Drosophila melanogaster: one gene and its partners. Changing the gene in region 3 together with the main gene of any one other region gives a genetic interaction. Each region holds a gene or a part of one and is shown on either strand. Other genes may lie near its edges. The genes, in order: Lamp1, put, upd1 and Mob2.

Region 1 (6,110 bases), on a different chromosome or scaffold from region 3:
ATTATGTTTGAATTATTCCTGAAATGTCCTTAAGCAAACGTCCTTTAAGGTGGTTTAGGGAACATTTTGGAACACGCTCTCCGATTGGAGATATTCCTTAAAAATTGGAATACATATTTTTTAGTTGCACATTTTATATACCTTCTTAAGTCCCATAAAATAAAGTCGTACATACATAGTTAGACCAAACTTTTCTAAAACATTTAGCTTTTATATTTTTAAGGATTCACCTGTAAATAACGAAAAATAAATAAATAAAAAAGTTCCCATGAAAAAAACTCCACCGTTCCGCCAAAGACCCTAGAATAACAAGATGCGTAACGCCATACGATTTTTTGGCACACGATTTTTTGGCCGTGGCTCTAGAGGTGGCTCCAGGCTCTCTCGAATTTTTGTTAGAGAGCGAGAGAGCGAAGAGCGCTACAGCTAACAACTGTATGTGTGCACACGTATGCTCATGCATTGTAAATTTGACAAAATATGCCCTTCACCTCAGAAGTTCTTAGACTTTAAATCTATATTATTTTTGATCAATTGGCACCATGCGAAAAATTCTTGTTTTGCATTGCCTTAACGTTATTATTGTTTGAAAATAGATTAGAAATAGCCAAATCTATGTACATATTATCACAAAAATAAATTTCAAAAATGGCTTTATATTAGAATATTTGTCATTAGAGTATTCATATTGAGGCGTGTGAAAAATTAATAAGGCAATGATTGTTGAGTGCTTGTGTCCGCACTTCGTGCCGCAAGATATGAACAAAGCAAAGACACTAGAATTATTCTAGTGTCTTTGATATGACTTTTGCAATAAACAGTTATCATATTTTTATGAAATTTATGAAATTACAGTAGTTATAATAATTTCTATTGTACTTCCTTTAATTATTTAGTATATTTATTAAGTCATTTGACTTAATATGATGTAACATTAACATTAAAAGTGTTTAAAAAAAATATTTCGCTTTTAAAAAATTGTCAGATGAAAGACAAATTAGAATTAAACAAAAATATAAATGTGTAAACGGATAAACGAATAATTCTAGTGTCTTTGCTTTGTTCATATCTTGCGGCACGAAGTGCGGACACAAGCACTCAACAATCATTGCCATATTAATTTTTCACACGCCTCAATATGAATACTCTAATGACAAATATTCTTACATAAAGTCATTTTTGAAATTTATTTTTGTGATAATATGTACATAGATTTGGCTATTTCTAATCTATTTTCAAACAATAATAACGTTAAGGCAATGCAAAACAAGAATTTTTCGCATGGTGCCAATTGATCAAAAATAATATAGATTTAACGTCAAAGAACCTCTAGGGTGAAGGGGATATTTTGTCCCATTTACAATGCATGAGCATACGTGTGCACACATACAGTTGTTAGCTGTAGCGCTCTTCGCTCTCTCGCTCTCTAACAAAAATTCGAGAGAGCCTGGAGCCACCTCTAGAGCCACGGCGAAAAAATCGTGTGCCAAAAAATCGTATGGCGTTACGCATCTTGTTATTATAGTGTCTTTGGTAATACCTAACATTTTTTCATTAAGTCAATGAACTCAAAATATGGAAATTAATTTATAAATATTTCCACTGTGTTATAAACCCTGTGTGTTATAAACCTGTGTTATATAAACCCGTGATAAAATTATAACATGTTATACATATAATTCTTTCGATTGATCAGAAATTAAATGTTTGATAAGAAAATGTACTAATTGTATTATATTATGGAATTAAGAATATATTTTTTGGTATATTATTATTATAAGTTTCATTAAATATCGATAGACATCTTGCTGTAGTGGACATGTACTATTATTACGGTTCCATATGGGCTAATTTTAGTTCTTTTAGAAATTCGGTCACACTATTGATGAAGAAGGTCAAAATAAAAACTAGCTCAGTCGAGACAAAAACGTATGTGTCAGTGTAGTAGATTAACGTATAGAAAAACTGCAACACAACTTAAGTGAGATTGCCATTCAATATGTTCGCCAACAAATTGTTGACCTGCTCGGCATTACTAATAATGTTATTTTTACTAAGCAGTACAGGTTAGTGCCAAGCCAATTAAACCCTTTTTAAAACAGCAATGAAATGCGTCGCATTGGAGGCCTTTGTTCAATGTGATAATACATCGCAGTTCTTTTTATATGTATATGTATGTCGTTTGTTCATCGCACATAATTTATTTTTCCGGTGCCGTTCACGTCGCCATATGCGTTAGTGTCTTATCGGCGTAATAAGGTGTAAACGGTTGAATTGCGAGTTTTGCCTTCGTAGATCAAGGGTTTTAAACCTATTTCAGTAATCTGGCTATCCTTTCATAACTCTTCTAGAAAAATGGTGTCGCTTACGTTCGTTAGCCCCGGAGAACATCCATTTTTACCCCTTTCGCTTATTTGTTCTGGCAATTTACAGTTTTGTATGCAGATAAAGTCATCCGCCACCGTATGCATCCATATTTATTTTATGCACTTAAAATATTTATATGCATGGGTGTATAAATCGGCATATCATATTAAATTTGTATCCGCCATATAGCATACTTTAGTTTTTGGTTACTATCTGTCAATTCATATAACAAGATTTTGGGTCATTTGTTCAATACCAATGTTAGACATTTGTGCACATAGTATATACAAAATAATATATGACATAAAAAAAACAATCTGTGATAAAATAACAACAAGAGATAACGCTATAGTCGGTTCTCTGACTATCAGACTATGATAAGCGGATAAGACAACAAAGACTTGGAGCTAGACTGGGCATATGTATGTACCTACATATTTGGGGAGACATATTAAAATAAACAATTTAAAACATTTTTTTTTATAGCATGCGTGATAAAATGTTTCGGCATAGCAACAGAAGGATAAATGATTAAATCAGAAAATATTTTTTATTTTTTAATTTGTAGTGTGTTCCTACTAATCTTATCTTGTTAAATAGTTCTATAACCAGACCGAATTTAAAATTCGATTTCGACCTTATACATTTGGTTTGTATAAATATTTGACAATATGTTACGGTACGGCCATTTTCATAGGATCTCTACAAATCACTGAAAACGGAAATAAATTGTCCATCAAGTCCAAACTCACTAATATAAATAACAAAGGGTAATTTTTTGATAAGAGAACAAAGGAAATACAATTAGAGCTAACCATATGTACATTTGAATCTCTAATAAATAATTTTTTTTTCACGTCAATTTAAAGAAAATTCCGATTTAATAAAGAAAAGCTTTAATATTTTTAAAAATTCTTCTTTTAGTGTTCTCTCAAAAGCTTATTGGCTTGCCGAGAGTCGGTAAAAATGTTAGTGATTTGTTTCTGGAACAAGCAAACCCACTGACCAGCAGCTCCTCAACAATCTCAACGTCTTCGACAACAACTGAGAAACCTATCACAACCAGATCAACTTCTACAATAACTCCGAGATCTACCACACCTTCAACGGAATCACCATCGACCACCGCACCAGTGATAAGCACGACCATTGCCCCGCAACCATATCCGCAACCATCCATTGGGGCTTGGAATACCTCTTGTATTATGCTTCAAATGGCGGCACAACTTAATTTTACCTATGAGGCTAGGGGTAAGAAAATAAATCCATATTTAGATTGCGATCGAATTACGGCATTGGTGAGGTATGGGCTCTATTAGATTTTATAGAAACTCGTCTCACAGTTTTAACATTTTAATGAACTTACTGAAATCGATAAGGCAAATATTTCAGTTTAGATTAAAAAGAGATGTACATATGTAAGGATATATGTATGTATATTATATATATTATATTTACATCACTGTACACATAGAAATGATAATCAAGTTTTCAGACAATAACGAGTGATGCACTAATGATGCACTAAGGGTAACGTAAGGATAAAGACGGAGCGCAAGTTTGTTGACCCATGTTGCCACGTCCACAAACCATTTTTTTTCCCATTTTATTCCCCAATATCTATCGATATCCCAGAAAAATTATAAAAGTTGCGTTCGCATTCACACTAGCTGAGTAACGGTTACCTCTTCGGGTATCTCTTTTGTTTTTAGTTTAAATCGAATGGTGTATCAAGACTTACATAAGTAGTACATCGTATATATAACTTAATAACTTTCACTCCGTTTTGGACCATTTATAATAGTTATCTTTTAAATAATTCATCAGTAAACCAGTATTTAACATATTAAAAAGTGTATAACAGGTAGAAGAAATCGTTTCCCAGTCGAGCTCAAGGAAGCTGGGTTCGGTAAAATCGAATTTATGAAATTTGAAAGCTGGAATAGTCTGTCCATCTATGCTAATGGGCAAACGCTTTTTATTAATTATTATTTGTACTTAAATAAGCAATTATACTTACTTCTAACTTCATATATTATTATAACTAAAAAAAACTTGCATCTTTGTAAGAATATCCGACTAACGAAGACTTTTATCTTTAGAGGGAAACTTTACCACCGGTCTGTACAACATCCCCAGCAACGCATCTGTTGAAGATGCAGAATGTAAAAGCCAGACTACTCAGTTTATTCATCTGATTTGGGGACCAGAAACATCAAAGCAATCATTAATTATGTATTTTAATAAAAGTAATGACACCACTGTGCTTTCCTTTATGCAAATTCATCTGGCTTTGCTGCCTGAGGATTTTCCAGATGCAAAGGGTAAGAAAATATAAAAAATAGTAGACAGATCTGTGTCGAATAATCCCCAATTCCAGAAAATCAAACGGTTCAGCTTATTACCAGGAGCGACGGAGCGTTTAAGACACCAGAAAATATGTCGTATCACTGCACTCGTGTTCAGAAGATAAATATGACTGAGACACTCGATGCTGAGCAGTTAATTGGTTGGATCAGCGTCAGTCATGTTCAGGTGGAGGCTTTCCGGAGGGCCAACGACACTGGTTTCTCAGTTGGACACGATTGCGATAGCTCGGAAACTTCGGATGTGGTTCCCATTGCCGTTGGAATTGCTTTAGCTGCATTAATTTTGGTGGTATTAATATCATATCTGTGTGCTAGGCGTCGTTCCACCTCCCGCGGTTACATGAGCTTCTAATAGAAGGACATCAGCTTAATTGGGCAGGTTGCGAATCAAAGGAGTATGGACAGCAAATTGTTAGAGAGAAATTTAAGATTGATTTTTATTATTGGAAGCCAAAATTGATTAGTTGAAGTTGAATTAGTTTTTTTTTCAAGAGGGTCATCGAAATCATCAAGCGCAATTGGGTTTAGAATAATAAAACGGTTCTTTAAAAACTTTTTTACGTCTCTGTCTTTGTAAGTGTCCGATATTGGTTCTTGTATGCTGATATTTGTGTTTTATTTAATTGGTTTGAGCAATGTAAATGTAAAATAAAAAAAAAATTTCTAAATAAATTAATCTCTATAATGTAGCTACCGTGTTAACCCTAAAAAGGTGGTGTCAGAGAGGACATTTCTATTGTTAAGGCAAAAACCTGTACGCAATACCAACAAGTATACATTCTATTCAAATGTTATATTTTTTAAACATTATTATTGGGGCATATAAATGTGTGTATTCCTGACCTTAACTGTAATAAATAATATTTAAAACCAAGCACAATAATGATTTTCGTTTGCTGGAAAGGGCTTATGGGAAAAATCTTAAAATCATTTTTAATTTTATACAATTTTTATTTTAAATTATTTTAATTGGTTAATTATTGCGCTGTTCCTGTTTAGATGAAATTCTACGCTCCTGCAGCTGACAAAATACATGACCTGAGCTGGGCATCATAAGTTGTTCCTTTAGCAACTCGAAACGCTCCTCGGCTAGTTCATAATCATTCTGCGCCAAGGCCACTAGGCCCAGATTGTACCTGGCTTCAAAGTTCATCGGCTGAAGTTGCAGAGCTCCCTCAAACCGTTCGCGTGCTAATATTAGGTTGTGCGAGTCCAATTCCACTATGCCGGCGTTGATCAATCCTGGCGCATTGTTTTTTAGCGATCCTATTTCATGTAACTGGTTAACGCAATGGGAGGCCATTTCTAGGTTGCCTAACTGAAATATACGTTATGTTTTTAAGTACAAAGTGCATGTACTTTATTACACGGTAC
Region 2 (7,806 bases), on a different chromosome or scaffold from region 3:
CCAGAAGTATTTCAGATGCTTAGCCATTGATAAGAACTGATGCTGCGCAAAAAAGTTTCAAATAACCCGAAAGATAATACATTCCGCCAAGACTCTCTTAATTAAACTATAGCTTAAATAACTATAGCTCGACATACACCTTGTTTGGCTAACATTATAAGACATACTATCCGTTTAACAATGTTTAACATACTTACTCATTGTGTTTAGCTCTAATTTCTTACAGTGTGTGCATACCTCTTGGGTTGAATATTAACTTTGATTTTTTTTTTGTTTAGATTTTATGCTGACGATGAGTCGCAGCGTGTGCTTCATATAAACCTGCTAGACTGCGTGTGTTCCGTATGCCTATGCGTGTATGTGTTGTGTGTATATATAAAGAGTATAGTTTATATTTTATAATTTATGTATATGCGCTTAAGTTAGATTCTTGTTAAAAAGAAACTTTCCTTTGAAAACTTCAGGTGTTGCTTGTACTGTCCAGTAGAATTAGAATACAATTACATAATTACACATTTATTATGCTTACGCGATTTCTGAGGGTCATTGGCACTACGTTTTGGAAATAAAAAAATAAAAATCAAAAGCAGAAATATAAAACAGACAAAATAATAAAAAATCAGATGGTTAGGATGGAGTTTAAAGTATTTTTATTTAAAATACAACATTAAAACGCATGCACGTTTGAGCGCGAAATAAAAACGTTACAACTAAAAAGTAAACTAAAATTGTTAAATCTATTTTGAAAATAACTTTAAATATAAAACTACTACTATATGAAGACATTCGATAACGTACAAATAAAATTATACTTTAAAAGGCTTGACGATAATTTTCAACAGTTTACATATGCACACAGGCTACTGCCAGAGGGCAAAACAAATTGTACGTTATATGTATGATTTATATAGAACTATATATGGTTATCAGTCAATGAAGTCAATGTCGGATTAGCAACTACCACGTCTCTGGACATAGCTAATGCTCTTTGTTCAAAGTTGCTTAGTGTACGTTTCCACTCATTTCCAACAGATTTAAGAACTCGGGTTAACATCGAATGAGTCGATTTATAATTTAAAGAAAATAATAACAAAGAATCGTTGGCATGTTAAGCTTTTGGCTTTTCCCTTAGGAAAAGTTACATCTTACACGACTTCTTTCGTATAAATCAACCCATTCTATAGCTGCTTATAATGGTACTACAAACTATTAAACTAAAAACGAAACGTCTTACGACCTCGACGATCAACTATCCACTACGAAGCAAAAAGCTTCAACTGATTTTTTTGCAGAGCCACAGATCCGCTGGCTGGTCTGTGGCTTAGTACCGCTTCTATAAGCAATTCGTAGATTCCTTGGCGTCGTCAATGTTGGTGTGGTTCTTGATTAGCAACTGGGTTGAGGGATACTTGTTTAGCTGCGCAAAGCGTTCCATCACACACGAAGAGCTAAGACGAGCCTCAGCGTCGTGATCCCAGCACTCCTCCATTGTGTCGCAGAATACATTAAGTCCCTGTAAAAAAGTTACAAGTTATTTTCATTGACTAAAAGCATTATCAGAAGTCACACTCACCGGATGGGCGCGCCAGGAGTTGAGCAAACGAGGGCGCAGCTTCTTCATTACCACACTCTCCTGAACTTCGTCCAGCGACGGCCTCAGGCCCAGCTCGGCCTCAAAAGGCAGCTGGAACTCACCGACGGGTCCGGCAAAGTCACACCGTGACACCATTTCCCAGAGGACTAGGCCGCATGCGTAGACGTCTATGCGTAAGAAAGCGTCTCTATTGAAATTGATGGCACCCTCAAGCACCTCTGGGGCCATGTAACGTCGAGTGCCTACTTGACCGTGTGTATCGCCGCAGGGCTTGCCTGGCTGGAATATCATGGCCAAACCAAAGTCAGCTATACAGGCCGTCAGATCGCTCTTAAGCAGTACGTTCTTAGACTTGAAGTCTCGGTGAGCTATCGATGGTTTTAGCCCATCGGTCTTTGATGCCGGGATCTCCTCGTGCAGATGTGCCAGTCCATTGGCCATGGACTCAGCGATGCGGCACAACTCTGGCCATGAGATCGTGTGCGATTTGAGGTAGTCGCATAGTGATCCGTTATGCTGGTAGGTGGATATCAGCCAATATTCCGGCTTGTCCATGTGCTTCTCAACGCCCAGGAATTCGAGGATGTTCGGATGGCGCATGCGCGGCAGCTTGTAGATATCGTGCTCCGTGGTCCACGATTCTTTTTCCTGCATGCGAAAGATCTTGACGGCCACATCCTGATTGTTGAGCTTGGCTTGCCACACATCACCGAATCTACCACTGGCCTTCTGTTCCAGCAGCTGAATGGGACGGTTGCTGAGCAATGGCGATGAGTTTGTTATCTCAGCCTCGTGCTAAAGGGTTTAATTTTGCATAATTAAAATTATATATTTGCGGCAACATCACAAGGATATGTACGTACCGTGGGTATCTCGTTAAAGTGCGCCTGCTTGCGGCGTCGGTAGAGAAGAAGGCCCATGCCAACAATGACCATGAGCACGCTGAAAACGGAGGTGCCAATGTAGATGTATATCAAATTGCTGCCGTCCTGCGTCTTCTCCTTGGGCACTGCAACGATACAAGGACACACACGGGAACGAACATTAAAGAGGGCTTTAAACGCTGCCTTGCCACAGGTGAACAACATCTCGAGTGGCGGCATGCACCTGCAGCTGCTGGGGTTGCTATGAAAGGCAAAACGAAAACTAAAAAACGAAAGTTCGCCCCCAATTTCGCATCTCTTTTTCCCCTCATTTTGTTTCGAGATAAAAGCGAGCTAGGCCCAAGAACAAAACAACAAAGAGCAGGGCACAAAAGACGCCCTGGCAGCACAGGGCTTCGAAGTCAAAGGCAGCAGCAACACCCCAAAAATAAAAACAAGAAAGGATGCTAGAATGAAGTCACTCGACACTTGTATACCTGGTATTAGATAACAGATACTCTCCTCGTTGTGGGTTAAGGCTGCAAGCCAATTAAGTATCATTCAAAATAGGTAGAGTCTAATCCTATTAAGCCTTCATAATCGGAGTGAAATAAATTGGATTTATACCAAATAACTACCTCTTTCAGTTGCATCCTTTAAAGCGAACGCATTATACCCGATCGCTAAAGAAGTACCTTACTATAAAAATAAAAACGAACCAGCGAACGTGCACAGGAGGGCAGAAATTGCAACACATGCGGCTCCGAAAAGGGGTTGCTGGAGGCTGGGGATGTAGAAAATGATGGGGGAGCGGGCGCCACTTCGCGTCAAGAGTTCGTTAACACGAAAAACGCTGCCTCGGATGCGAGGAGTGGTATTTTGTAGGCGAAGCCTACGCCCTCTTTTTGCAACTTGAAGATGCAGTAAAAATACAAAAAAAAAAAAAAAAAACGAAATAACAAAAACAAACAAAAAATATATGCAAACGGAAAAATAACAAAATTGGGGTAAACACTCCAAAGACAAAACCCCAGTAGCAGCAAACGTTAAACCGAATCTGAATCCGAAACCGGATCCGAACCCACCTTGTGTGGTTGCCTCCGTGGTGCTTTTAATATATTTCTGGTTGGAATTGCACCGCGATCCCTTGCAGCAGCAGAAGTGAATGTTTCCCTGCCGTGGCTCTGCACTGGTCACGCACTCCGTCTGATTGCATTCGTGCATGTCCGTGAAGCAGCCCTTCATCTTGATGCGCAGGATGCCTATGGGAACGGAAAAATTAAAATTAATCAGTATGCCTGAAACAACGTCAACTTCTGCACGGCTCACCCGTTGTCTCGTTGACCGACCAAAGGACATAGCAGCTGGGAAACTTATCCGCCTCCATCTTACAGTGCTCTATCCGTGTTTCACATTGCTGCGTTGTGTTGCACATCTTCTCGTCGAAGTGCTCGCATTCTATGATCCCATGACTTCCGGGCAAAATAGATCCATGGATTCCAATCAGACAGCAGACTAAATGAAGACAATGGGAAAATAGATTAATAATCTTTCTAGTTTTAGATTAGCACTGATCTATATTTAAAGTATATATTTGAGCAGTCCTAAAACATGAGTAAAGACTTTCAAAAAGTTAAAACGTAGTTAAAGATCAAAGTTAATGGAATTATCGGTTGGAAGTGCTCAAAGGGTGGGCAAATAAAGTCGAGCCTATTTGGGGAATAAGACTGAAAGGGAGGGCGCTCAGCGAGCTCTTTGTGGGCGCTATCCTTTGTACACATATCGCATGCCCAGAAGTAGCAGGAGTAGCGTCCTAAGCTGGGGCCTCTGCCATTGAAAGCCACCCCATTTGGGCACGGAATTAGCCCCACTGGCCACACACCAGCCTTTGAGTGGGCATGGCCCCAATGCACGGATATGCAGTGCACAGTGGGCCTGCAGTAAGGTTTCTTGAAAATCTATTTACATTCTTTAATTCGATTTAATCTGGGATCCTCATCCAAATACCGAAATTTTTGTTGATAAAAATTAAAATGATAATTCACTTTTTAAATGTGTAAATACAAAAAATTTAATTTTGAAAACGTTTATTGCAACGAGCCTGCGATATATTGATTGATATTTCTTGACCATTGGCTAAGCAAACTGTTTTCAATCCTTTGAAACACTTTTCGTCCCACTGTCCTTTAGGTAATCGGATCGCTGGCCATGTATGTGTGTGTTCGTAAGCGTGCATGCTTTATAGTAAAGTAGATACATAAGCAGGCACATTATGCACACAGAAAGGGATGGGTTTAAAGTGGCGCTTGTGCGGAAAAAGGAAACAGCAGCAGCAGAAACAACAACAACAACAGCAGCAACAGGGAAGAGAGCGCACTGCGCCACAGAAAGAGAGAGGGCTATGGCGAGCGAAAGAGAGGGAGGCCGGTGGAGCAAAAGGGTGGGAGAAACCAGAACCTGCCATACAACAAGTTCCTAATGCAGCAAAATCCATTCAAAGAAATGCTCAGCGCACACACACATGGATTAAGATTGGGAATTAGGTATCCGATCGATTTATACCGAGTATGCGTTTGGCGCTCAACATATGAATTCGTAGTACCCACTGTCAACAATTCTTACGATATTTTACTACATTTGTGTAGTACAATTGTTGGTGCTTTAATAGAGTATCTAGTGTATACATTATTCACTTCACAAATAGATTTGATTCCTAGCATTTACATTCGTTATACCTAATTTCTGAAAATTTAAGATGTTCTGATGTGTTGGTTAATAGGACAAAGCTATCACAAAGCCTATACACCCTATATATGAACTTTTCAAGCGCCATGTGATATTAATAAAGTAATAGCATTACGCACCCCATATCATCAAAAATCACACGCACGAATGGTTATAAATCGAAGTCGGCTTGCATTACAGAGGAAAATCGTAAGGCAGAGACAAAATATAATATTATGTACATATGTACATAATAAAGCGACTGGGAATTAAGGCGCCAATAAGTATGCACCCACACACTCGCAGTGCAATACATACCCAGCGTTAGCTGCGCCGTTAGATAAAGCAGATCGTATTTGGACATTGTTATCGCCTGTGCAAACTTGTTTACAGCACTCGTTGCGTATACGTAACGCGAATATTTCGATGTTTCGGGGACAGGTGCAGTGGAATGGAATAACTGGGTACTGTTAATATTATTTTGGCACAGAGTTCCTGTTGTCTTCGCACTTTTCGAGTACAGCACTAAGTGTGTATGTGTGGGTGGCCGAGTGTGTGTGCGGTGCCTTGGCAGCGATTTTGCTGGCCACACGCCGTTTGCATGCGCATTTCCGCGGGTTTTACTCGACTTTTCGCCGCGACTTAATTTTAAGCTAGAGGGGCACAGTTGAAAAAGTATATGCGCGCTGCACTTTTTCGTTTTTCGCAGGTCTGCGGGCCTGTTTTCAAGCGATTTTAGTGCGAGCACGTCTTTCGGTTCGATTAAATCTTTTTTGTCGCAACGGGGCGGCGATAGCGATGGCCGATAGGCGATAACTGACCAGGGCTGGTAGTGAGACAATAGAAATACTAGATACGCGCATTTTGCGAAAGGTATTTTGAGGTGTGCGAGATCTGGTCACGCTCACAAGCAATTTTCTGGAGATTTCTTGAAGTGAGTTTTGTTGCTGAGAAATTTAAGTAAATAATAGAAGAATCGGTCAACAAAGTTTTTTTGTGCATAAACATAAAAAAAATAATTGGAGACCATTATTTTGTATGAAAACAGACTTATTAACAACAGTTTTCACCTGTCAAATGAACGTTTACCTTTCACCAAACATGGCGTCGCTTTACAGTTTATTGCGTCTTCTCTTCTTTTCAGCCAACTTTACGAAGCAACTGAGAAATGACTGGTCGTGGAAAGGGAGGCAAAGGATTGGGAAAGGGGGGCGCCAAGCGTCATCGTAAGGTGCTTCGTGATAACATCCAGGGTATCACCAAGCCTGCTATTCGCCGTTTGGCTCGTCGCGGCGGTGTTAAGCGTATCTCTGGCTTGATTTACGAGGAAACTCGCGGTGTGCTAAAGGTACGTTCTGGCGAAACGAAGGGAAAGTGGTGAAAAACTGATTAATTTCTCGGAAAATTCACAGGTATTCCTTGAGAACGTTATCCGTGACGCTGTCACCTACACCGAGCACGCCAAGCGCAAGACCGTGACCGCCATGGACGTGGTCTATGCCCTCAAGCGCCAGGGACGCACCCTTTACGGATTTGGCGGTTAAGCACGCCCTCTAACCTCCACATAATAAATAACCATGGAGTTAACTTAACTACATTCAAAATACTTGATCCAATTGAATCTTAATCAGTAGTATTCAACGCAAACTTAACCGAACGCAAATATTTTATAATTTCACAATATACGGACTAAATAAATCAAAAGATATCACATAGAGAACTCAATATCATGCATATGTGCATTTTGACTTGGGGCGGTTAATCATCCGAAAATAAGGTCCAACAAACTCGCTTAGGGAGCACACAAATAATAAATCTTTAATGGAAATTAGTAAGACCAAAGTATATTTTTGTACATTTTTGGTGCAGCTTGAATTCGCAGATGGCAGGACGTGCAAAAAGGAGCAGGTTCCCTTTTCTACTGCTACTGCCCGGGAGTATGACTGCAAATTTAGCTCTCCCAGTGGGGATCCTATCGAATCGAGTTGGCTGCTTTGTTGTGGGTGTGATGGTGGTGGTAGTGGTGTTGTTGTTGTTACTGCTCGGCGTATCAGCCAGCTGTGGTGTCGCTGCTCCGGCTGCGAATGGCTGCGGGGATTTTGAATGGAGGAACCTAAAGTCACGACCCCTAGGCGCTCTGCTCCCGCTGCTTCTGGAGCTGCAGGGACATGTAGACATTGGCCGGGGATATGACATTTTGGTCGCCGAAATCGCCAGAGCCTCCACCACCGCCGGCATCTCCGTCGCCGGCCTCTTCTGTGAGTGACATGGACTCCGATTGCTTGCGCCGCACAAAGACATGCATGGAGGAGTATTTCGAGCTACTAAGTAACGTGGAGTCCGTCGCCTCCGTCTCGTAGTCTGAGTTCTCCAGCGTAACGTCCGTTGAGGAGAGTTCTTCGGAGCGGGACATATACGACGACTCCATGTGCATGTCGCCGACTGGTACCTGAAGATCGTCCTCAGGCCGAGGTTTAAGGCGCTTTTTCCCCGTTTTACCAGCATTCGCTTGTCGTTCCAGATTGCTAACGAACTGCGCCACATGTCCATCGCTGGCGCCTGGGACACGTTTTTGCACCAAAGCCTCGACCAGTTGAGATTGCCTCTGCCTCCTGTGGGATCCGT
Region 3 (6,097 bases):
TTGATATATGTGATATATGCGAGCGAGTCCCTCTCTGTGGGTTGTGGGTCCTGCGAGATTCGAGTCCTGTGCGTCCGTCCTGCCTTGCGGCGAAATAAAGGCGAGTGGCCCCGCTGCGCAACACAACTGCTTCCTGCAGCAGTTGCTGCACGCTGCACTTACGGTTAGACGCAAGGACACACCGTCCGCTGTCCGTTTCGGCCCGCTATCTGACCATCTACAGCTGTTTTCGGCTGCCCAAAACAATGCGGCCATAATGCAGCAAAACTCTCAATTTAATTAGACCGTCAATTGTGCAAGCCCTCGAAAGTAGGGAGAAATATGGGCATATTTGACATAGGGATGTCCTAGGTAGATGGGCGTCCGGGGGTTCGCCAGTTGGGAGTACCTGGCCCACTGGCCAGAGATTTCACACTCTTCTTCTAGTTACCCACCCAAAGCGGAATTGCGACAATATCAAGCCGAACTCATCGAGATGGTCAAATATCAGCGCTGCGATTATCAAAATAAATAATTTGAGGTGAGTTATAAATGTATCAAAAAATGATGAAACAACTTAATGTTTTACGATTTTTATGTAAATCTTTATTAATTAATTACCCATACGAACAGATTTAGGCATATATATGTATATTATTAACTTCATTTAAACAACTTGAATCATGTCAAATGAATTTGAATGGTATATACATATATAATAGATTGTGAGTGCCAAAATCACTACTTCAGTTATATTGATTGTGGTTCGAACACGTATAAATAATATTACTATAAAAATGTATATATTATGTATTATTATATATATTACTACTGGTATTGAGAAGAATTGTAACTGCACAATTGGTTGATTCCTTAGTGCTTTATCCTATTTTACGCTTTATTCCTTATAATTACTAAATTAATTTTAATATACAAAATATATAGCAATTTACTAGTTGTTAGAAAAAGTTGAAGAAAATGTAATATTGGTTAACGTTCCTCGTGGATAGTTCTCGAATGGATAGTTTACCTGGATTAGCGAGCTGAATAGCGGTGTTATGTTGGTCATTTCCGTTGATCACTTTCTAGACCGATTTGAATGTCAGGACTTTTTGGGAGGGGTGAGCAGGCCGCTCAAGGTCACCCAGAGAGTTTGAGAGAGGGAGAGAGAGAGAGGACCTAGCTGACCGGGCTTAGAAGAGTGAGACAGAGCCAGGTAGGCCTGGTCTTTTGGGGCACCAGGTAGGCTGCCTCTCTTCTTTTCCCGCTCTTTGAGTGAGTGACGCGGATTGGGCAAGTGGGAAAATTCCAGTTGCAATGGCGACCGGCCCAAGATCGCCCTGGTCCGCAGGAGCGAGCGGGATGGCGCGCGAGGACAGCCGGTTGGCAGGCTCAAAGACGGCACCAATACACACTTCGGCCAGGTAGGCGCATACGCACACACGTGCAGGTGACCTGGGAATAGGATACCCCGAATACGATCGGTGAGAGCGGGCGCGGGAGCGGGACAGCCTGCGGTTCTTCGGATCTGAATCTGATCGGTCCGAATCGGCGGTCTTCTTCTGGCTCGGACCATGGCGTACCGCTCGTCGGCACTCGGCGGGCAGCGACGCCGGCAGAGGCCGCTCAGCTCGCCTCAGTTCCCATTTCAGTTTCGGTTTCGGCCTTTTGGCGCTGCTCATCGGTCGGTCGGTTGGTCGGTGGTCGGTCGGTATCGCTCTGGTATTCTGGTATCTGGTATCCGCAGCCTCTCAGCGAAGAAAGCTGGTCAAATCCAGCGCGACTTTGGGCTCAGTTCGGTTTCACACTCGAACGCGAGCAGAAGTGTCCGCGAATCAGTCTCCAAAGCATCGAAATCACCAAATCAGAACACAAACTGAAGCACGGATTTGAACTCGATCTGTGGTCAAGTGGTCTCACAAATATTATATATAAATACATTTTTTTGCGAGTGTTGTGCTGCAAGTGTGTCCATTGAAAACCGCCGGAAAATCAACGAACAACGAATCTCGAACGATCATCGAACATTTGGATTAACGTACAGACTTTTGGGAGCTCAGGCGCAGCACAAACCACGGGGATCCCGCGAGGATCCTGAACGATTCCATTTTTCATCTATAATGCGGTGTGTGTATTATTTTTAATTTGATCAAGACTTAAGAGCAGGCACAATTGGAGAGTGGAGAAGCGATCGAAAAGGATATTTTGGTCAATATCAATTCTCCACTCTTCAAGTGACTTATCAACAAGAAACGACCAACGATCTACTGTTAAGCAAAAAGGACATTCTGTGACAGCAACTGCAATTTTGGGAATTAGGATTAAATTATATAGTTTAATTAATTCGCTCTGCATTAAAATGCAAATCCATTCAGGATATTGTTACTTGTGCGAATCCTTTCCGTTCGTTTTTAGCAGCAAACGATCTTCAGTCTCGAATTTTAATCCTGTCAGATAAAGTAGCTAACTTGAATGGAGAATTTGAAATGTTCAAATTTTAGAATTAGCCCCAAATCCAAAATTCAACCTCAAAAGTTTCCATACACTTTCACACACTGGAAGTTAAAGCCAAGCCAAGCCAGAAGGCAGAGATTTGTCGCCTGGAGAAGATTAGATCCTCGAAACTTGGATCGATACGTCTTCGTTATTCGCTCAGGCTACTCTCGAGTTAATTGTCTAAATTAAAAAGTTTCCCCGCCCTCAATATACACACATATCGCTCTGGAAAAGACAAAAAAAAAAAAACAACGAAAAGCAAAAAAAACCGCAAAACAAACATAGAGAAAATGTTAAAAAAATCGAACCAAATTGTTGAGACTGTTGTCTGGTTGCAGTTGCATTCGCATTGAAGGAGGCTCGGCCGATCATCCGACCCGTAATCCCGATCACCTCAGAGCTCCAGCATCGAAGCACCCGACCACCCAATCCCACCCAGTAACCCATCCACTCCCAAGGGAGTCCAGTTAGTTAACCATCTAGTCAGGGAGGAACAGTGATAGCAGTTGATCGTTGGTCGTCGCGCGTTGTAGCAGAAAATTGAATTTACTTTTGCATTCTCGATACTCATAGTGTTTTTTCTCCACATCTCTTCCCTTCTGACCCCCCATCCCCACCCTTCACATATATCCTATATATATATATTGTAACCCCGTTCGCTGTATCTGCACACTGATTTCGATACGGACCGCGGACAGTAGTTGGTTGGCAGTGCGCTGCGACCACAGCTAAAAACAGCACCACGGCAGCCGGCAACGGAAACGGAAACATCAGCGGAAGCGGTAGCGGTAGCGGTAACGGATTCCGGCGCAGAAGAGAAAGTGGCTACCATGCGGCGATGGCTCGTCCGCTGCTCCTGCTCCTGCCCATCCTACTCGTCCTGCTCCTTGCCGCCCAGTTGCCCCACCTCGCCGAGGGGCGCAGCACCACCAGCAGCGGCGGTCTAACGGTTATCGATAGCGAGCGCCTGCGCATTCGCACCACCTCCAGTACGGCTTCAGCTCAGCATCCCAATCAGGGCACGATCCCTGCCAGCGCCGCTAGTCCGCGCAAGCGCCACAGAAAGCGGAACAGCAACTGGATCGACTATCGCAACTTCGACGAGAACACCACCGCCCTGGAGTGGGCCAATCCCTGCGGTGGCAACTATCATCCCTCGGCGGGTGATCGCTTCAATCGCCAGCGTCCCAGGCAGGTGAGTTCAAACGGCAGCGCTCTTTGGACCCGATCCATATGTAATCCGCTCCCCATTTTATCTGCTTCTCCACAGAGCTTCAATCAGCTGAAGCGCCACGCCTTTCGGGAGTACCGCAGCCTAAACAGTAGCCAGGACTCGGCCATAGATATCCGCAACATGACCATGTGGTCCCTCCACACGCACAACTACAAGTTCCTGCCCAAGCTCAAGCCCAATTCCACGGTAAGCAATCCTACAGTCATACTTTTTATCTATTAACTTAGTTGTCAAAACTAGTTACTAAATCCATCTCGTTATCAACTTTGTATCTATGTATCTTGAAAATAGCTCAATTATCTCGTTATCAACTTTGTATCTATGTATCTTGAAAATAGCTCACAATTGTCTCCATCTTTTTGATTTCTTCCACAGATTGCCCTAAAGCGCTGGTACCGCAACATGCAAACTTACGTGGCCAGCTTTGCGTATCTGAGGCGCCAGCAGATCCGCTGGGATCAGCGGTCCATCACCCGCGAGTCCAGCACCGCCCGCGAGCTGCGCGAGCTGCTCCTGAGCTCGCGGCGCATCCTCTGCGAGCTGGAGACAGCCGTCAACCAGACGCAGAGTCCGCGCCAGAAGCAGCGGCGCAGTGGTGCGGCGGTCACAGCAGTTGGCGGCACCACCATGCTGGGTCAGCAGCTGCCACAGATCTCGCGTCTCGAGATGAACAAGCGTTTGAAGCTGCGCTCCAAGACGAGTGGGCCCGGTATGGGTGGTGCTGCTTCCAGTGCATCCATGGCGGCGGGCGAGGCGGACTCGATCGATATGCGCTTTGTGAAGCACCACTACTACGACTTTTTGCGCACCATGTACCAGCTGCTGCGGCGGGATGGCAAGCGGGTAAGGAGTCGGCCACGGAAGCACCACAAGAAGCAGCAGAGGAGCCAGAAAAAGTTGCTACAGCAGCAGCAGCAGCTGGCGGATCAACTGGAGCAGCGTTGGCGCAGCTCCACCTTGAATGGCAAGGAGTTCAACGAGGTATCCAAGCCAGTGGCCGGTGGTGCTGCTGGAGTTGCAGATGTTGCAGGTGTTTCCGGTGGTGGAAGCAACCAATTTGCACGTGGCAGACGTGGAAAGCGCCAGTCGAAGCGCGTGCAGCGCACGTGAAATAGCATACACAACATTCCCATATCTTTCCATTTCCCCTTACCTCAGGACTCGCCCCTTTCCTCTGTTCTACAAACCCCTAGCCTCAAATCCTTAATTTAACCGTTAATTGATCGATAGTAGCTTAAGTAAATTATTTGATTGACAGCACATAGTCTCTGTTCTCGAATTCATTGCAAGTATTACCACATTCCGTATTTATTGACATTCGTCGAGAGTGAGAGAGAGGGAGAGAGAGAGAAATAGAGAGAGAGATATAGTTATATAGCATACGAAACCACAATCTGCAGTTGCCGTTCTAGTCACATAAGAGCAACCGCCAACCACCACCCACTGGAAAGTATTATTCGCCACGCCCGCTTTGTAGCCCATTCCGCACCCGCATCGAGTACTATGTGACCCCCAGTAGGCTAAGCTAACCCATGGCATTCATGATCATAATTCCATATCCATATCCTTTAGGCTAAACTTTGATCCTAAGGCACACACACACACATTTTTTTTTTTTCGTAGGCTAGCTTGTGTTTCGACATCTGTGATATAGTGCTTGACTAGTTCGTATTTAACCTAATTGTACATATATATTATATATAGATCGCATTGGGGTGGCATGTGGCCGCATCCATGCCTTCGTAGTCCTAAGCTCGCCCTTAGAAATCGATTTTCGTATTTATAGAACCGACCGACATATGACTAAGCCAGCAGCGGAATAAAGCGAACAATAAACTGAATTGAATTTGAAAATAAATCTGGATTGCATTTCATTTTTGGGAATAAATGGTATACATATATCCATTTGGATATACTTAAATTTATGATGGAAAAGAACTTCGTACTTCCCATTTTGAGGTTCAACGTTTTTATCTTATATTTCAAAATTGAAATACCCGAATATCGAATTCAATTCTATATATTTTTATATCTTTTACCATCAAAAACCTATCAACCAACCTATCTTATGTGGCCAACACTTTCGCGTACATTGAATCCCTATACCTGGGGGAGTCAATTACTCCAATTCCCTTGACCCACTTTCTGCGGATTCGCTTTCTGCTGCGCCTTGGATGCGTCTTTATGGCTCCTCCATGGGTCATGGGTTTTATGATCTCCAGCGGCGTCAAACTATTAGCACGTCAGGCTCCCAGTTCCCCTCGATACCGAAACCGATCCCGATCCCGATTCCGATTCCGATCCCCACCTGCTTGTCTACCTGTGCCCAGAAACCCAGAGGAAATGAATGGACTGTGATCAATGGAACCACTCAATGAAAGTTCGCGC
Region 4 (4,994 bases), on a different chromosome or scaffold from region 3:
CTACCTTCTTGCCGCAACATCCGCAATATCCGCAGATCGCGATCGTGTGCCGTTTTTGCTGTCCGACGGCAACAGTCGCTGCCATAAGTAATGGGCACAAAGCAATTCGAGTAATGGCAAATGGCAGCAGTTGAACCGCTAGAAAGCAGCCGAGCGTTACCACCTTTTGGAGCAAGTGAGATGGTTGCTGTGCTGTGTGGGTGGAAAGAGAGGGCCATAGAGTTGGCGGTACGGATCAGATGTTCCATTACACGCTTCGTGTGTGTGTGTGCGCAGCATAGTGTGGATGAAATTTTGATGTGGTGCAAATGAACTTGCCGCCGTTTCGGTTGCATTGCGGGCGGTCACAGGTGCGCGTTCTCTGCTGCCAAGATTCCTTTTCCTCTATCCGCTTCTCACCTTTTCGCCCCAGTCGTATTTGTTCTTGTTTTTCTTCAGCTCGTCAATGGACAGCTGTTTTGAGATACACTCGAAAAAAAGTGTATTAATGCAATTGTCTAGTAAATTTAAAAATATAAAATAAGTTTATGTGGGTTGGTACTGTTGTGTTTTTGTTAATCATTCTTTTTAGTTATTCGCTTAATGAATACCACACATGTCGGTCCAAATTTATCTAAGTGCATTGCGTGTTCCTGTTTTCAACTTTATTTACGCAGAATGACGATGCGTTTATATTATGTTTTCTTATTCGGGTCTAGATTCTGTGTAAGTTAGGCAGCAAATGCAGTTCCTGTGTTCTTCGGTTTTCGTCTACCGCTCCATTCTATTTGATTACTGATTTTATTTCTTCCTGGCCGAAAAAGAGCGTGATAATTACTCCCTGTGGAGAGATTTGATGGTCAGAGGAGTAGCTATTTCATGCGGGCTTGGGGTCACTTCATTGATAAGAACCACGTAGCTGGAGGTCCTTACCATCGAGAATAACAAATTGGAATATATCTTTAATTCTTTATTTTCTGTTTTCCTTTCAGGTGAGTGAAATATCTTGAGCATGAGCTTACCCAAATCCCAGGTAATTTGTTTAAGTCAATTAGAGCAGTCATTTTAACTGAGAAAAAAATTATAACATGCTTAGAGTATTAAACGTATTAAATAAATGTTTAGCGCTTTAACAAAACTCTATGATGTTTTAGTTGAACAGATTGTTATCAAGCCAATTAGTGTTCTTGGTAAAAGTACATAAGTGATGTGATGTTTGCGTCAATTGTACGAAATTGTGTTAGCCATTAAATTTGCCGAATTTATTTCGTTTACCTGTGATCATTAAAACCATGTGTTAATGAATCAACAATGGCAATATATTTATGAGAAATCCATTTAAATGTTTCATACGAACGGTACAATTATCCCTTTTCGTGGAAAATTAATTTCTAATTGTTATTTATAGAGTTTATCCTAGGTTTGTTCAATGCGTTAAAAAAGTAGTAGATTCTGCTACTATTCTACTGCCACTTTGCCGTGTTCTCTTGTTACCGAGCTGTGTGGCAACGCCAGCGCAGTCAGCTGCTGAGCATCAAAACATGAGCGCTCAGCTGATGCGAGAGAGCGTAGAAGAGAGAGGGCTAAAGCCAAAGCAGTCAAACAAGTGGTCGAAAACCGTATAGATGTGCGTGTCTCGCTTGAGTGGCGCATTTGTATGCAAAACACGTACACGGGCAGCTCTCTCCCGCTCAGCTGGTATTTGATACCTCTAGCTCTCTTCCTCGCGCTCGAGCGGAGAGCAAATGTTGCTGGTGTGCGAGACAGCAGCAACATCAGCAGCAACAATAACAACAACAGCAACCACTTCATCTTTACTGTGTGCTCTGCTTTCGTTGCCAGTTTTGTGTTTTTGCTTTTGCTGCCTTTTTTCTCTCCTTACTTGCGTGAGTGTTGATGTTGCCGCTGTGTGTTGCTGTTGTTGCCGCTGTGTATGTGTATGTGTTGCTGTTGCCAGCCGAACGAGCAGCAGTCAGTCAAAGACGGACGGCTTGGCTCAGTGTAGAAATTTCCTTTGGCACGCTTGGTCGCTCGAGCGGTTGCAGGTCGTCGTCAATAGTGGACTGTTGATGTCGCCGCGTCATTATTTGACATTGTTTTTCGAGGCGCCGCCGTCGGTTGCAACCACACATCATCGCGTCGCAGTTAAAAGCAAAACAGCAACTCCAGCAGCAAGCAGCGCAACATTTGCAACATCAATTGCCACCGTGAAATGCTATGCTAGATTGTGAAATAAAATCGCCTACCAATACAAACTAATATCCCGAAAAGGGGAACAAATGTAAGCCGAAAAGGAGTCTGTTCTCCAACAAAAAAAAAAAGAAAGAAAGAAAAGAAGTTCTTCTCTGTGTGTGTGCTAGTGTTTTCCCGTGCTGGTGTGAAACTGTGTCATTCGCTGCGAAAAACTGCATTCAAGTTTTTCCTCAGAGCCGCGACTGCTGGCGTGTTATTGTTGCTGTTGCAGCTAGCTGCCACGGTTTGTTGCTTCACTGATTACGCGCAATGCAGCAACAGCAGCAGCAGCAGAAGCAACAGCAACTAACTGCAGAGGAGCAATAGCAGCTGAGAGTTCAGTTGCGAAACCGGCGAAGCGCGACTGTTGCCAATGCAGCGCTTAGAATTGGCACACCAGCAACAACTGCAACGCTGCAGCAAAGCTGCTACTCCAGCGTCAGCAACAACAACGGTACATTGGGCATTCACAATGTTGCTTGGTGTGCCACTGCCACTGCCACTCCACCACTACTTGTTCCTCCACTGCCATATTGTTTTAACCACTTCCTTTGCCGCAGCGGCAGGAACTTCCTTCCTCACGAGCTTCCTGTCTGTTCGTCCGCTTGTCTGGTTGTCTGCCCTGCAACCCTCAACCCTCCCTTATTAACGCCCCCTCACACTCAACTGCATTGTCAGGTGTTTTCTCTGCCACACAGAAAGAAATGGGGGTATTGTTAGGGTTCATTTGACAGTTTTCACAAGAATTATTTAAAGATAGGTTTTTATGGAATATATCCTTATTCAAACTGCCTTTAAATACCTTCTAAAAATAAAAAGAGTGAAAATCTTAAAATAATGATATATCTTATTGGGCCTAGAGTATTTCCTCTTTTTTCCGTGCACATCCTGGTTGCGTTGTTTCTACTTTTTGTCAACCCCGTTGACGCGCCTACGTGTTCAATACGCTGAGAAAACAACAGTTACGAGTGGCTCAACCAGCAGCTTGTTATTTCTCACACCTTTCGTCCAGACCCCCCGCGCCTTCCTACCACTGCCCCTCGCCAACCCTTTGGGTCCTCAAATGCGCTAGGCCATCCATCGATTTTTTGAGGTCATGCTAAAAATTGCAAAGCCAACTGGAACTAGTTGCGGATTCCCATAGTTGAATTGCCATGGACAATTTGCGGAAGGCAGAGGAAATGAAATTGATTCAAGCCTTTGTGGTGCGATATTATCTAACCGAATTCGATTCGTTTTCTGTGTAGGCCCTTCTGTGTTGCGGATGTTAAGGATTTATGTAAGCTCAGGAACTAATTAGGAAGAAGCACTATGATATTTATCCAAACTAACAATTTTAGTTCGATATATAATGGTATAGAAAAGTATCTATGTACTATTTGCGATTGAACGTTTTGCCCCCGTTATGAAACACTTTTCTCACGGTATTTCCCCATTAAGCAATTCCAGCAAAATCGTATAGATACTAATTTAGTAACTCAGCAATCGCATTTAATCGAATTCATACATATGCATTTCGGTTCTATTGGGACTGTTTTCATTCGACGTGTATCTCAATCGATCGTTTAACCCATATGAAAAGGATAGTCACAGTTATAAACGCTGTCGGATGAATCTCTGGTAACTGGGTTAGTTAGCGACCCGAAAACTTCTCTGCGCCTTTCCGCCGAACCGTTATGCCATATGTATGTATGTATGATGCTCTGCCTGCCCGCCGGTCAGCTCTTCCAGACCAAACCAAACCAAAATGAAGCGAACAGAACAGAACAACCCAAACCAGCTCGAAGATATATATGGATGGGTTTTGTACGGCTTGGCATGGGGTTTGGTGGTGGGGGTACGGAGATACACCTATCTACTATGTATATCATGTCATCCATTGCATGTGCATCGCACATCTCACGTCACCGTACCGCTGCACAGCTTCTATCTCCCTTTCCATATCTGCTGTCGTCTTCCTGCTCGTCGTTTGCCAGTTGTGGAACTCGTTTTCATTTCTTTCGTTAGCAGACATAGACATAATTCTCCAGCTTTTCTAGCGAGCAAAGGGGGTGGGGGTTCATTTTCGGTTTCGGTTTCTATTTTTTTTTTCTCTCTTTCGACTTTGCCAATCGCTCATTTGACCTTTAACGGGTTGTGCTGCATATACATGAAAAGCACACTCAAATCGGCAACAATTAAGCTCATTCAAAACGCGAGCAATGGGCAATCTAAGAAAAAAAAAACACTCGCCGTCGCGTTGCTAGAATCACATCATAAATTTCGGTTTTGATGGGGCGCCAGTTGTTCTGTGTGCGGAGGTGTGAAAACGATACTAGAAGGGGGGCGCACAAAAGACAAAACTCGTTTGGGGGGAAAAGACAACAGAGTCAGCAAATTGGCTTCAATGCGAGTTGAAGGTTAAGTGCGACAGCGACGCGGAAATTGAACATTTTGGATATTGGAATCAGTAGCTGGTTTCGAGCTGAATAAACAAAACAATAGGCATTAACCCCTTTTCTGTCATCTTTCGATTTTTCGTACTTTTTTTTTAGCACGCACTTCAGACCATTTTATTGGCTTCCTAGTATTGTCTGCAAGCAATTAAAAGTTTTTGCTTTAAGCTGCACAAAGAGTTTCATGAGAAATTTGGGATATTAGTTTCGTAAAGTTAAAATTTAAAAGCACAAAAAATATAAAAAATACTAACAGAACGAATTAGTTTTACATTGAAGAAAGAGGATCTTCATATCAATAGAAAATCAAAGATCGAAATGTACAGGGTACCTCTTTTTGCTTATATA

What was found.
Region 1: of upd1 (region 3) and Lamp1, changing one suppresses a phenotype caused by changing the other (phenotypic suppression), as found in Drosophila melanogaster (one study listed by BioGRID).
Region 2: of upd1 (region 3) and put, changing one suppresses a phenotype caused by changing the other (phenotypic suppression), as found in Drosophila melanogaster (one study listed by BioGRID).
Region 4: of upd1 (region 3) and Mob2, changing one suppresses a phenotype caused by changing the other (phenotypic suppression), as found in Drosophila melanogaster (one study listed by BioGRID).

The regions. Positions count from the first base shown.
Region 1 is NT_033779.5:21,571,496-21,577,605, forward strand, and holds Lamp1 (Lamp1), read left to right. Parts: upstream 1-1,893; 5' UTR 1,894-1,999; coding exon 2,000-2,066; intron 2,067-3,291; coding exon 3,292-3,618; intron 3,619-4,469; coding exon 4,470-4,691; intron 4,692-4,747; coding exon 4,748-5,088; 3' UTR 5,089-5,608; downstream 5,609-6,110.
Region 2 is NT_033777.3:14,619,701-14,627,506, forward strand, and holds the start of put (punt), read right to left. Parts: upstream 6,004-7,806; 5' UTR 5,546-6,003; coding exon 5,500-5,545; intron 3,973-5,499; coding exon 3,787-3,972; intron 3,720-3,786; coding exon 3,543-3,719; intron 2,604-3,542; coding exon 2,458-2,603; intron 2,390-2,457; coding exon 1,574-2,389; intron 1,514-1,573; coding exon 1,334-1,513; coding exon of another isoform or gene 1,322-1,333; 3' UTR 1-1,321. Other genes in the region: His4r (histone H4 replacement), read left to right, coding at 6,350-6,529, 6,594-6,725; CG7886 (uncharacterized protein), read right to left, coding at 7,310-7,806.
Region 3 is NC_004354.4:18,304,816-18,310,912, reverse strand, and holds upd1 (unpaired 1), read left to right. Parts: upstream 1-1,621; 5' UTR 1,622-2,104; intron 2,105-2,653; exon of another isoform or gene 2,654-3,176; 5' UTR 3,177-3,313; coding exon 3,314-3,670; intron 3,671-3,745; coding exon 3,746-3,895; intron 3,896-4,084; coding exon 4,085-4,819; 3' UTR 4,820-5,559; downstream 5,560-6,097.
Region 4 is NT_037436.4:11,550,096-11,555,089, reverse strand, and holds the start of Mob2 (Mob2), read left to right. Parts: upstream 1-1,977; 5' UTR 1,978-2,260; intron 2,261-2,396; exon of another isoform or gene 2,397-2,551; intron 2,552-4,994. UniProt on the Drosophila melanogaster protein: Required for the normal morphogenesis of a variety of polarized outgrowths including epidermal hairs, bristles, arista laterals, and dendrites.